Linked DNA regions of Schizosaccharomyces pombe. The protein of the gene in region 2 binds, or shares a complex with, the protein of the main gene of each other region. Each region holds a gene or a part of one and is shown on either strand. Other genes may lie near its edges. A codon is read from its position in the direction of its gene.

Evidence for each region.
Region 1: the proteins of cnd2 (region 2) and cnd3 are in contact, whole or in part, in a crystal structure (PDB 5OQR), measured with the Schizosaccharomyces pombe proteins. Residues at the interface, in NP_587811.1 of Schizosaccharomyces pombe: Arg477 (codon at 149), Asn481 (codon at 137), Ala482 (codon at 134), Ile483 (codon at 131), Asp484 (codon at 128), Phe485 (codon at 125), Leu486 (codon at 122), Gln487 (codon at 119), Val489 (codon at 113), Val491 (codon at 107), Leu494 (codon at 98), Phe495 (codon at 95), Thr496 (codon at 92), Pro497 (codon at 89), Lys503 (codon at 71), Leu504 (codon at 68), Trp509 (codon at 53), His512 (codon at 44), Arg514 (codon at 38), Cys515 (codon at 35), Leu516 (codon at 32), Leu517 (codon at 29), Pro518 (codon at 26), Asp519 (codon at 23), Asp520 (codon at 20), Tyr521 (codon at 17), Gln522 (codon at 14), Tyr523 (codon at 11), Ser525 (codon at 5), Arg527; in NP_588207.1 of Schizosaccharomyces pombe: Ile4 (codon at 1,821), Gln5 (codon at 1,824), Ser8 (codon at 1,833), Gln11 (codon at 1,842), Thr12 (codon at 1,845), Arg39 (codon at 1,926), Ala40 (codon at 1,929), Asn42 (codon at 1,935), Ile43 (codon at 1,938), Ile44 (codon at 1,941), Leu45 (codon at 1,944), Val47 (codon at 1,950), Asn51 (codon at 1,962), Ser52 (codon at 1,965), Asn53 (codon at 1,968), Ala54 (codon at 1,971), Arg56 (codon at 1,977), Val57 (codon at 1,980), His84 (codon at 2,061), Arg87 (codon at 2,070), Gly88 (codon at 2,073), Asp90 (codon at 2,079), Ala91 (codon at 2,082), Lys92 (codon at 2,085), Asp93 (codon at 2,088), Val96 (codon at 2,097), Leu131 (codon at 2,202), Asp132 (codon at 2,205), Arg133 (codon at 2,208), Phe165 (codon at 2,304).
Region 3: cnd2 (region 2) and cut3 share a complex: the UniProt entries of both Schizosaccharomyces pombe proteins name them as parts of the condensin complex.

Annotation. Positions count from the first base shown.
Region 1 is NC_003421.2:1,476,493-1,480,245, forward strand, and holds the start of cnd3 (condensin complex non-SMC subunit Cnd3), read left to right. Parts: upstream 1-1,710; 5' UTR 1,711-1,811; coding exon 1,812-3,725; exon of another isoform or gene 3,726-3,753. Other genes in the region: serine/threonine protein phosphatase PP2A regulatory subunit B-56 Par1, read left to right, coding at 33-787, 840-1,138, 1,228-1,486. UniProt on the Schizosaccharomyces pombe protein: Regulatory subunit of the condensin complex, a complex required for conversion of interphase chromatin into mitotic-like condense chromosomes.
Region 2 is NC_003421.2:410,491-414,243, forward strand, and holds the start of cnd2 (condensin complex non-SMC subunit Cnd2), read right to left. Parts: upstream 1,602-3,753; 5' UTR 1,578-1,601; coding exon 1-1,577. Other genes in the region: histone H3-K4 methyltransferase Set1, read right to left, coding at 2,275-3,753. UniProt on the Schizosaccharomyces pombe protein: Regulatory subunit of the condensin complex, a complex required for conversion of interphase chromatin into mitotic-like condense chromosomes.
Region 3 is NC_003423.3:1,004,792-1,008,544, reverse strand, and holds the start of cut3 (condensin complex SMC subunit Smc4), read left to right. Parts: upstream 1-2,021; 5' UTR 2,022-2,081; coding exon 2,082-3,753. Other genes in the region: erv2 (sulfhydryl oxidase), read right to left, coding at 1-527. UniProt on the Schizosaccharomyces pombe protein: Central component of the condensin complex, a complex required for conversion of interphase chromatin into mitotic-like condense chromosomes.

The DNA.
Region 1 (3,753 bases), 1.1 Mb from region 2:
AACCAATTTAATTTACTAACCTGTCTATTTAGATGTTCCTGTTAATAAATGGCACTCTCTGGCGTTGGAAAAATTAGAACAATGTTGCGTTGTTTTCGATTTCAACGATCCCTCCACCGATCTTTACGGAAAAGAAGTGAAGCGAGAGGCTCTTCAAGATCTCATTGATTTAATATCTGTTCGAAAGGAAGCAATTGATGAGTCATTGTATCCATCCATTGTTCATATGTTTGCAGTAAATGTGTTTCGTCCTTTACCTCCTCCTTCTAATCCTCCCGGTGAAATCATGGATCTTGAAGAAGATGAGCCGGCTTTGGAAGTTGCTTGGCCCCATCTTCACCTTGTTTACGATTTTTTCTTAAGATTTTTTGAATCTCCGTCTTTGAATACATCCGTAGCCAAGGTGTATATTAATCAAAAATTTATTAGGAAATTACTTGTATTGTTCGACAGCGAAGATCCTAGGGAACGTGATTTTCTAAAGACTACACTTCATAGAATATACGGAAAGTTTCTTTCTCTTCGTGCGTTCATAAGGCGCTCAATTAATAATTTATTTTTGCAGTTTGTCTATGAGAACGAGCAATTTAATGGTATTGCCGAACTGTTGGAAATCCTCGGGAGTATCATTAATGGATTTGCCCTACCACTAAAAGAGGAACACAAAATATTCTTGTCACGTGTTCTTATTCCTTTACATAAAGCCAAATCCCTTCCCCTTTATTACCCTCAAATTGCTTATGGAATTGTTCAATTTGTTGAAAAGGATTCATCTGTTACAGAAGAGGTATGTATATTTCCTAGTGTTTCTTACGTTTTATCTAACGATGACAATATAGGTTGTCTTGGGCTTACTTCGATACTGGCCGAAAGTAAATAGCTCAAAAGAAGTCTTATTTTTAAATGAAATTGAAGATATTATTGAAGTGATGGAACCTTCAGAGTTTTTAAAGATCCAGGTGCCGCTCTTCCACAAGTTGGCAACATCCATATCTAGCCAAAATTTCCAAGTTGCTGAAAGAGCTTTATATTTTTTTAACAACGACTATTTCGTGCATTTGGTTGAAGAAAACGTTGACATTATACTACCAATTATATATCCCGCACTCTTTGAAATTTCAAAAAGTCACTGGAATAGGTAAGTAGTTACTCATTTAAAATCCCTTTTTATTTTCTTTATTTAAGATAAAGAAAGTGGTTTATTAGTTCTTGCTGACGTTTTGTTAGAGTTATACATTCTATGGTTTGTAACGTCTTAAAATTGTTCATGGACATTAATCCTTCTTTATTCGATGAAGTTGATGCTGAGTATTCTGAGAGTCGTCGGAAAAAAGAAGATGAAGAAATTATACGAGAAGAAAGATGGACTATACTAGAAAACATCGCTAAAGAGAATGCTATGAAACTTAAATCTCAAAACCCTACTACTGTGCACTCTACTACTGAGAGACTAAAAAAACTTTCACTTGACTACACCAATGGTTAGGACTTGCATATTTTAATAATGATCCATATATTGTACTTAGTCTCTAATATTCCCTCTTTTACATTTTACATACTATATCATTTTCAGTTAGTATTTCCTTTTCTTTTAATTGATTGTAATAAAATATAAATCGGTAACTTGGTAGCAATCTTCTTTTCAAATTGAATGTTGCAATCTCAAGTGGGCCTAAGCTAGAAGGGTTCATTTTTTTGTTTGCATACCCCAGCTTAACCTACCACTGAGAGCCAACTGTAGGTATGCCAGTGAGGTGCTCCTCAACTTCAGCAAAAGCACTAAAATTGGCATAATATAATTGTTATTGAATATGTCTTGCATTCAAATTATTTCATCTAGTCAAACTTCAATTGCTGGTCATAGAAAGCTATGCAACAAATTGTTTACCCTACGGACGCAGGAAGGATTTGAAACCGACATCCTAAGGGCGCTAAATATTATATTAACTGTTAAAAAAGGAAACTCAAATGCTGACCGCGTTTTGAGGTTCCTAGTAACCTTTGTTAATTACCTTCAGCAGAAGGATCCTGAGATAGACATTGTTCAACCTATCTTAAAACATATACTTCGTGGGTTAGATGCCAAAGATAAAACTGTAAGATATCGTTGCTGCCAAATTATTGCCAGAGTGGTTAATTGTGTAAAAGAAATTGATGATGACCTTTACAATACCCTCAAAGAAAAGCTTTTGTCCAGAGTTTTAGACCGGGAATCGATAGTCCGCCTTGAAGCTGTTGTTGCTTTATCTCGGCTTCAAGAAGACACCGGTGACGAAGAAAACGATGTTCGAAATATTCTTTTATTTTTATTGCAAAACGATCCTAGCTCTGAAGTGCGAAGGTCTGTTCTTTTAAATATTGAAGTTAGCAACTCAACTCTCCCTTTTATTCTTGAAAGAGCACGCGATGTTGATGCTGCCAATCGAAAATGTGTCTATGCCCGAGTATTACCGAAAATAGGAGATTTTCGTTATTTAAGCATAAAGAAGAGAGTAAGGATATTGAAATGGGGATTAAATGATCGTGATGAATCTGTTGAAAAAGCCGCGGCTGATATGCTTGCATATCAGTGGATTGAAAACGCTGATAACAATCTTTTGGAACTTCTAGAGAGACTTGATGTGTCTAACAACTCTGATGTTGCAGTTTTAGCAATTAAAAAATTCTTTGATGTACGCGTGGATAGTTTGTCTCAGCTGGAATTCCCCGAACAATTTTGGTTAGAGCTTACAGCTGAGTCTTCCTTGCTTGCTAGGACATTCAATGAAATTTGTATAGAGAAAAATTACACTGACCTTTTGGATAAAATGCCTGAAGTTGTTCAACTTACATATTATATCGAAAGGCAGTATGTTTCTCTTAGAGACAAGTCTTCTTATGATGAGTCATGTTTTATAATTGAACAACTGTTATACATTGGTCTAAGCCAGGACATGGTTGATGAAATTGGTCGCAGAAAGCTTTTAAAGAGTCTTACAAATAGTCTTTCTACTATGGCCCTTCCAGATTCACTAATCTCTTTACATATAGAACTATTAAGGAAACTTTGCTCTTCTGAAAACGATTTTTGCTCATTGCTAGTTGAAATTATTACGGAGGTGTTTGAACAAGGACATTCACAAAACCAGACTGAGGAACAAGGGAACAGCAATGCTCCAGAACTGAATAAAAATGATTATGAGGGTGAGGAGATTACTGTTTCGCAAAAGTCACCATCTCCATCTTTACCACCTAATGAACTAAATGAGCCTGAACCTGACGACATGGATGGATATAAAGAAGCTTTTAATGAGTTAAGATGCCTTTCGTACGTTCAGTGTCTATTTGAAAACATCACATCCTCCTTAAATGAAAACTTATATATGGTAGACATGCTTAAGACTTTAATTATCCCGGCTGTGAGGAGCCATGACTTGCCAATTAGAGAAAAAGGATTAGAGTGTCTTAGTTTGGTTTGCTTGTTGAATGCTGATCTTGCATTTGAAAACGTTCCTTTGTATTTACATTGTTACGAGAAAGGTTCTGTGGTTTTAAAGTGTACCGCAATTCGTACATTGACTGATATGTTAATACAACATGGAAAAGCCAAGTTCACCGAATATGAAGATGCTATTTCTTCTATACTTTTTGAAGCTTTAGGGGAATTCGAAAATGCCGAATTACAGACTCTCGGTGCTGAGGCGATAGCCAAGTTGTTGGTAATATTGCATTACAGAGACGAACTGGTATGTTGCTGTGTTTTTATAACTTACT
Region 2 (3,753 bases):
TTAGAATCATATTGGTAGTCATCAGGTAGTAAACATCGATTATGTCTTTTCCAATGAGACTTGGGAAGCTTGAGACTGCTGGTTGCAGGAGTGAACAGTGCTTCGACGTCTACTTCCTGCAAGAAATCAATGGCGTTATCAAGTTCTCGACGCTTTTTCCGTTCCGTGGAAGAAAGAGAACGCGATACATTATCTGAACTTTCAGCCGTATTGGAAGAGTTGAATACAGTTGATGCGTTATTGATATTTTTTCTCAATGCCTGAATGCGCCAATGTTCGGGTCCAGCCCAGTTCTTTTTCATTGACTTGTCAAAATATTCGTATACTCCATTCGCAGCGGCAGTAGAAATAATAGAATAATTTTCATTCATAGTACTTCCATCAGCCATATTGACTTCAGTATCCACACCAAAATCTGGATTTTCGGATTCGTCCATTGCTTTTGGTACTACATCAACATATGGGTTCTCCTCATCGTAAGCCATTTCCTCCAAAGCATGCACAATATGTCCTTCTTCACCATCGGAATCGGAAGAAAGGGAAGCTGCATCAGCATCAGTTTTCTCCATCGTATTATCCACTAAGGAGGTTGTCGTTATCATGTTAACTTCATCACTTAATGATTTTAAGAGAGAGACATCAAGATTCCCTTTACTATCAAATTCAAAGCCCTGTAAGGAGGGACATATTGTCAACTGATCAATATCGGTAAAATAGCATTTGTAAATACCATTCAAGGTCTCCCTAGAAATATTGTCATGCACATTAGTCATTTCTGTGTCATGGCTTTCGATAGGCGCTGCGACTACCGCTTCCTGCGATTCAGCTTCAACATCTTTATTTTCCAAATCCTTGATGACAGTATCGCTAGAATCGAATACAATTCGTCCATGTTGATCAACACAAAGATGATTCATTAATAAGCCTTTAGCACCATCCTCATCAAAATCTGCACACATTTTCTTGAATAAAGGATCAAAAGAACATTCTAACTCAAATTTTTTAGCGCGTATTGACTCGAAATCTTTAACGAGAGTCTTTACCGAACGTTGTGCACGCTTTCTCTCTTTCTTTTTCTGTAGATCCTCATCATCATTTTCAGCATCTTCGCCTTCTTCCGTTTGCTGCAATACTTTGGAATCGTTTGCCAATCCACTGAGTAGCTTGCCGGTCTCAGTAGCAACAGAATCAATACGCGAAGTATAAATTTTCACGCATCCGTCTAATGTACAGCTTGCCTTTTGGAAATTTATATCTTCACCATCACGTAGAAGCGACATGTCGTGAAAATAGTCAATAAGCGCAAAATTCCAGGTATTTGTGGAATTAATTTTGTTGTCAGTAGCTAATTTAATCCATTCCTCAAAATTAGAAAGAACAGGAACCTGATGAGAGCTATTAAATGGTGAAGAATTGTTTAGAGATTCTCTTCTTGGCGTTATTGAGTGCAGAGCTGAACTTCTTCGCAACTCGCGCTGCTTACGGCTGTTCTCTTTAGCTCTTTTTTTTTCTAATGCATCGTCATTTAAGGAGGGTAAGCTAACGGGCGCATGCCCGCCTAAACTAGCTCTTTTCATTGATTTAAGTAAATGTTTATGTTCACAAGTGGTAAGTCGGTGTGCCTATACGTATATCGCGCTTTAACGATATGCCGTATATTTCTTTCTAATCAACAAATGATAAAGATTCAAATAAGTTTCTAAATAAATGCCAATATGATAACATTATTTTTCTTTTGAAATTTGTTTTCAAATAATATAGTATTTCCCAATTTACTTCATTGATGGCTTCCCGATTACAAAGTCAAAAGTCTTTTGTTTATTATTCTGTTACAAATTTTGTGAAGTTTCAATTATTATAAATCTTCCATATAAAATTAACAAGGTAATACCAAATCAAGTTTGGATCCTAAAATTCAGTAGCTATCAAGTTTTAAGAGAATTTTATTTTTCGTTTTCGTTTATTTAAACTTGAACTTCGTAGTATTGTGGAGCAAATGGATATATCTAAGACAGTATATCTCTTAACATTTTACTTCTAAATCACTCCTGAATGCAATCCACTGAATGGTATGCGCATTTATCCTGACTCTCAAAATATTCAACCAATATCAAATGCAGACGATGTAAGACAGAAAATTGATTCTATTCTATATTAAAAAATAAAAAGCATTAGTGTACCATCAGATATAATGCGTGCTTTTTAAACGAACTATTATAATTGTACAGCTGCCCATATATTCATGTACCATCAATTCTCCAAGAGCATCATTGTCTAGTTTAAATAGCCACGACATGTTGGAGCACCACACAAACAAGGAATCTTATCAGCTTCTTCCGGAAACTTGTAATCATAAGTAAGTTCCTCTCCATGCATAATATCCCTGTCAGCATAAATTACGATTTTTCTTTTCCCTTCAACTCTAATAATCCTAGCTATACAATTAGGAGCGCATGAATGATTGATGAAACGCGCGATATTTCCCTTTTTTGTAGCATCAACGATAACATCCTCGTCAATACGGAACAAATAACTGTCTCCAATACCTTCACGAACGTAGTTCTTTTCACGATTATCAGCCACCCGTTGTCGAATGATTTCTCCAATATACTCTATGACCATATCATTTTTATCAATGTTTTCCATGGCAAAAAGCCCTAATGTATGAATGCGACTAGGGCCAAAATGTAATTGCTTTTTACGAGCCTTTAGTGCATTGAATCTGAGCAAGTCAGCTTCGGCTGGCAATTGAGACTTTTCAACTCCAGCAGCCAATCTTCTATTGTTAACACGATTCATTCGTGATGTGATACGGCTTGTAGAATGACTAATAGTATCGATGGTTGATCGATTACGAAGTGGTAGATATAGTGATTTTTCGGTAGTTGGAATAATATAGTATCCCTCACTTTTAGCAGAACCGCTAGTATTAGAGCGAAAATAACCTTTAGGTTCTGGAAGAATAGCCGTATCTCCATACTTAACATCCCCATTCTTAAATTTACATGACTTGCGTTCATAAGCCCAGAAATTGGGATCGTTGATATCCATGAGGGGTTCATCCTTGAGTGCCTCTTGAAGATATGAGTAATCTTCGTCATTTTTTACCAAGTACTGTAGACCATCCAAGTCAAGAAGTACATCGTCTTCTGGATAATTGTAAGGAAGTGCACCATAATAAACGCTTCCAGTTTCATCAAACTCATTAATACGCCATTTGGGAGCTAAAGCTAAAACTTCATCAATCTCTTTCTTAGGCGATATGAGTTCATCTTTTATGGCGCTACCTGATTTTGGAATCGCAGCACTAGGAGAAAGTATTGATGCATCTGATTCGGTTTCGCTGGACGAAGTATAGTCAACTTCCATCTTTTCATATTTTTTCTTTGATATTTTAGATTTTGTACGAAAACGATGGAATTTGTCATTTTCATCAGATGTATCAGAAAAAACTGGAGTCGCCTCGTCAGACTTCACAGACTTTATTGAGCCAATCTTCCCTCTTTCTACACGCTCGTCTCCAGAAGATAACAAAAGTTCTTGATCAGACTCGGCTTCAGAAGCGCTTGAGTTATACATTTGATTAAGCTGGTAGTGTAAAGGTCGAGCTTCGTGCCTTCTTCTACGTCTTCTTTGAAGTTTCGACTTCGTTTTACTACCCGCTGAAAGATTCATTTTACTGGAATCAACTCGTTTTTTAAATTTGGGAAGACTGGGGAGCTTTCCGACTGTTGATTCAATTTTTAAAGGAAC
Region 3 (3,753 bases), on a different chromosome or scaffold from region 2:
TTTTCAGCTTCGCTTTCGCGATAGGTCGGCGATCCGATTACATATCTCTCATTAAATCCATCGCATGATGTCTTTGGTTGATTCATTTTCTCATTTAATTGATTGTGTACTTTGCAAGCCCACGTAGTTGCTGCTTTTCGAGAACTTGTTTGTGGAGGATGTACATCTAGTATCTTTTGGAGTTCCACAGAGTATTCACCACATGGCATTGTAATAGCGGAAGAAAATAGATAATGTCTTAAGATATCTCGCTCATCTAATGTTGGTCTGTTTGGATAATTGGAAACAACCGTATGAATTAACTTCCAGTATGCATTTACCATTAAATTATTCGTGTTATTATCGTGCTTCGTGGACATCATCTCAATTGGTTTTCTACCTTGACCTTCTCGATCCGGAAGCGATTTAATTTCAGGCATAAACAGACGCCAATCTTTGTCTACCATAACACTGTGAAAGATCCATATAATAAACGATAAGATTAGTAGGGTAGGGAGAATCACCTGAATTCTTCTATTAAGGATCATGTTTTATAGTATTTAGCTACTTCGTTTTCCCCGTAAGAACACCTTCATCTACCAAATTAATTGTAAAGGAGAACTGCAAGGACAGAAACTCACGCGGCTTTTTTGATCTGATATGCGGCATCGCTATGTTGCAATAACGAGAAGGAATTGATGGTAAACAAAACTAACCTCCTGGGTTATACAGAGCGAGTGCATCGTTATATCTAATGCTAATTAACAGAAAAACTTTTAAAGTAGTAAGATGGAACAGGCTGCTGGATGATCCAATGCATTACCAAATTGATTTAGATAAATGTATTGCCAACCCTTTAATTTTTTTTTTAGATATTAAATATCTTTTATATCAATTCTATATGCTTTTTATTTTAAGACTCAGAAGAGTTTTAATTATAAGTATAGTTAATAGTTAATAAATATGTAGTTTAGTGATAGAGATATAACCAAATAACAACAAAAAAATTAACTAAAGTATCATTATTATAAAGTCCATTGCTAGGTTTTATCACTATAAAATTTTTTTTAAGTTTGGAATTATTTACTAAAAAAAAGAAACTTAACGTAAATAAATAAAAACTAAGAGGACTTGTTAGTTTTTGTTTAAAAAATAAATAAATAAATAAAGAAGGAAGAGTTTAGCTAAGTTATCAAGTGAGCATAGATAGCATATAATAATCTATGTTTACAGATTTAAATGTTTTAAAGATAAATTACTTGCAATTGCTTGAAGATATGAATTTGCGTTTGATTAGTTTAAATCAAAATGTAAGAATTTTGGGTTAAATTAACATATGGCAAAAGGCTTGTCAAGTTTAAAGCTAAAAAAATACAAAACAATAGTGAATTTGAAAAGTTGTTCTAAAAAACTTGGACAAATCGTTTCCTTGCATTAACATTTCATTTAAAGAGCTAATCTATTTATATTACTTACTGATTATTCTTTATTCGTGGTTATTTCACACATAGGGCTACCCAAACAAGGTAAATTTTTGCGTCGTCTTGCTAGATTTAATGAAGGAATACAGAACAAAAAATCTTTGAGCTTTATATTTATTGTGTGAATTGAAAGAGGATGTTTGCTTGTGCTAGTAAAAACTTAGAAACAGCAATGTATTCTGCTCGTCCTTTTAATATTTTGCTAGTGTAAAGTGTCAGAGCAATATTCTCTTTTACTTAATTTTCGTTTTGAGTTAACTTTCAACGTCCAAGAATACCAAATTGACTAGCATAATAATTTAATGTATAATAGACACATGAGTTTATAATTACAGGTAAAAAGATGTTTGAAGTCTTCCTTTAAATCAGGTGTGTAGGTATAAAATAAATAGATCATTTTCATCTAACATGACCTGTTTACACAATTATACTTCAGTCTTTAGTTTATAAACATGGGCTTTAGTGTAATTTAACTGTGGGTTTTTGTATATTTTATTCATTAATTGACTTCATCGTTGGGTGAAATGCTGTTCAACCGTTGTAAACAACACACCTCTTTTCACGACCACCCACTCTTTTAGAATTTTAAGTAATATATAATTTGTTGAAGATACTATCTTTATGTCTGACAAGGGCATCTTTCGAACGTCTTCAACACCCTCGATTGTGGATGTTACGCCAGATCGTGGTGAAAGGCCACGAAAGTTGGTTCGCTCAGTGCTAGAATCTCCTTCTCAGAAAGATGTCGCATCAATTGTCAAGATAGAGCAAACACCATCTCGCCCATTTTTCAATGACTTTTTAAAAAAAAGAATTACCGATTCTTTAAACGAACGCCCTAATTTGCTCAACAAATTTATGTCTGCTCAAGATGGCACTCCATCTAAATCAACAGGTTTCAATGAACGGAGTTCACAACTTGTGTCAGAATTTACTACTACAGAGGATATTGAGAATTGTGAAGAAACCACTCAGGTTCTTCCTCCTAGACTGGTTGTTTACGAGCTACGCCTAACAAATTTTAAATCATATGCAGGAACTCAGATAGTGGGTCCGTTTCATCCTTCTTTTTCTTCAATTGTTGGACCAAATGGCTCTGGGAAATCTAATGTTATCGATGCTTTACTTTTTGTTTTCGGTTTTCGTGCTAGTAAACTTAGGCAATCCAAAGCGTCTGCCTTAATTCATAAATCTGCAACTCATCCTTCTCTCGATAGTTGTGATGTCGAAATTACTTTTAAAGAGGTAAACTCTGACTTTACTTATGTTGATGGAAGCGAACTAACAGTTCGTCGTACTGCTTATAAAAATAATACTAGTAAATACTTTGTAAATGGGGTTGAGAGTTCCTTTTCTGCAGTTTCTAATCTTTTAAAGGAGAAAGGAATAGACTTGAATCATAAGAGATTTTTAATTCTTCAAGGAGAAGTCGAATCAATAGCGCAAATGAAGCCCCGGGCTATATCAGAAGGTGATGATGGTCTTCTTGAATATCTTGAAGATATCATCGGAACCTCGAAATATAAGCCAATTATAGAAGAGAATATGCAAGAACTTTCGAATTCTGATGATATCTGTGCTGAGAAAGAATCTCGTTTAAAACTGGTGCTCTCTGAAAAGGCGAAATTAGAAGATAGCAAAAATTCGGTTCTTTCTTTTCTCAAAGACGAAAATGAGTTGTTTATGAAACAGAATCAGCTTTACCGTACTATTCTATACGAAACACGCAATAAAAAGACGTTAGTTCAAAACTTGCTTAATAGTTTGGAAGGAAAATTACAAGCACATTTAGAGAAATTTGAACAAACCGAGCGAGATATTTCGGAAAAAAATGAAGAGGTTAAATCATTGCGTGAAAAGGCAGCAAAAGTAAAAAACGATTGTACTTCAGAGAAGAAAACTCGCCAGTCTTATGAACAACAGACTGTGAAGATTGAAGAGCAGTTAAAATTTTTACTTAATAAAGAAAAAAAGTTAAAGAAATCCATTGAGGCTCTTTCATTCGAAAAATCAGAAGCAGAAAATTCTTTAAGCTCTCATGATATTGATTCCCAAAAGTTGAATTCTGAAATTGCCGATCTCAGTTTAAGACTTCAACAGGAAGAATTGAGTTTGGATGACATTAGGAAAAGTCTACAGGGAAAAACGGAAGGTATTTCAAATGCTATTGAAGAAAAGCAAAAGGCTATGGCTCCCGCCCTCGAGAAAATAAACCAATTGACATCAGAAAAACAAATTTTACAGGTTGAGTTGGATATGTTATTAAATAAAGAAAATGATCTAATTAACGATG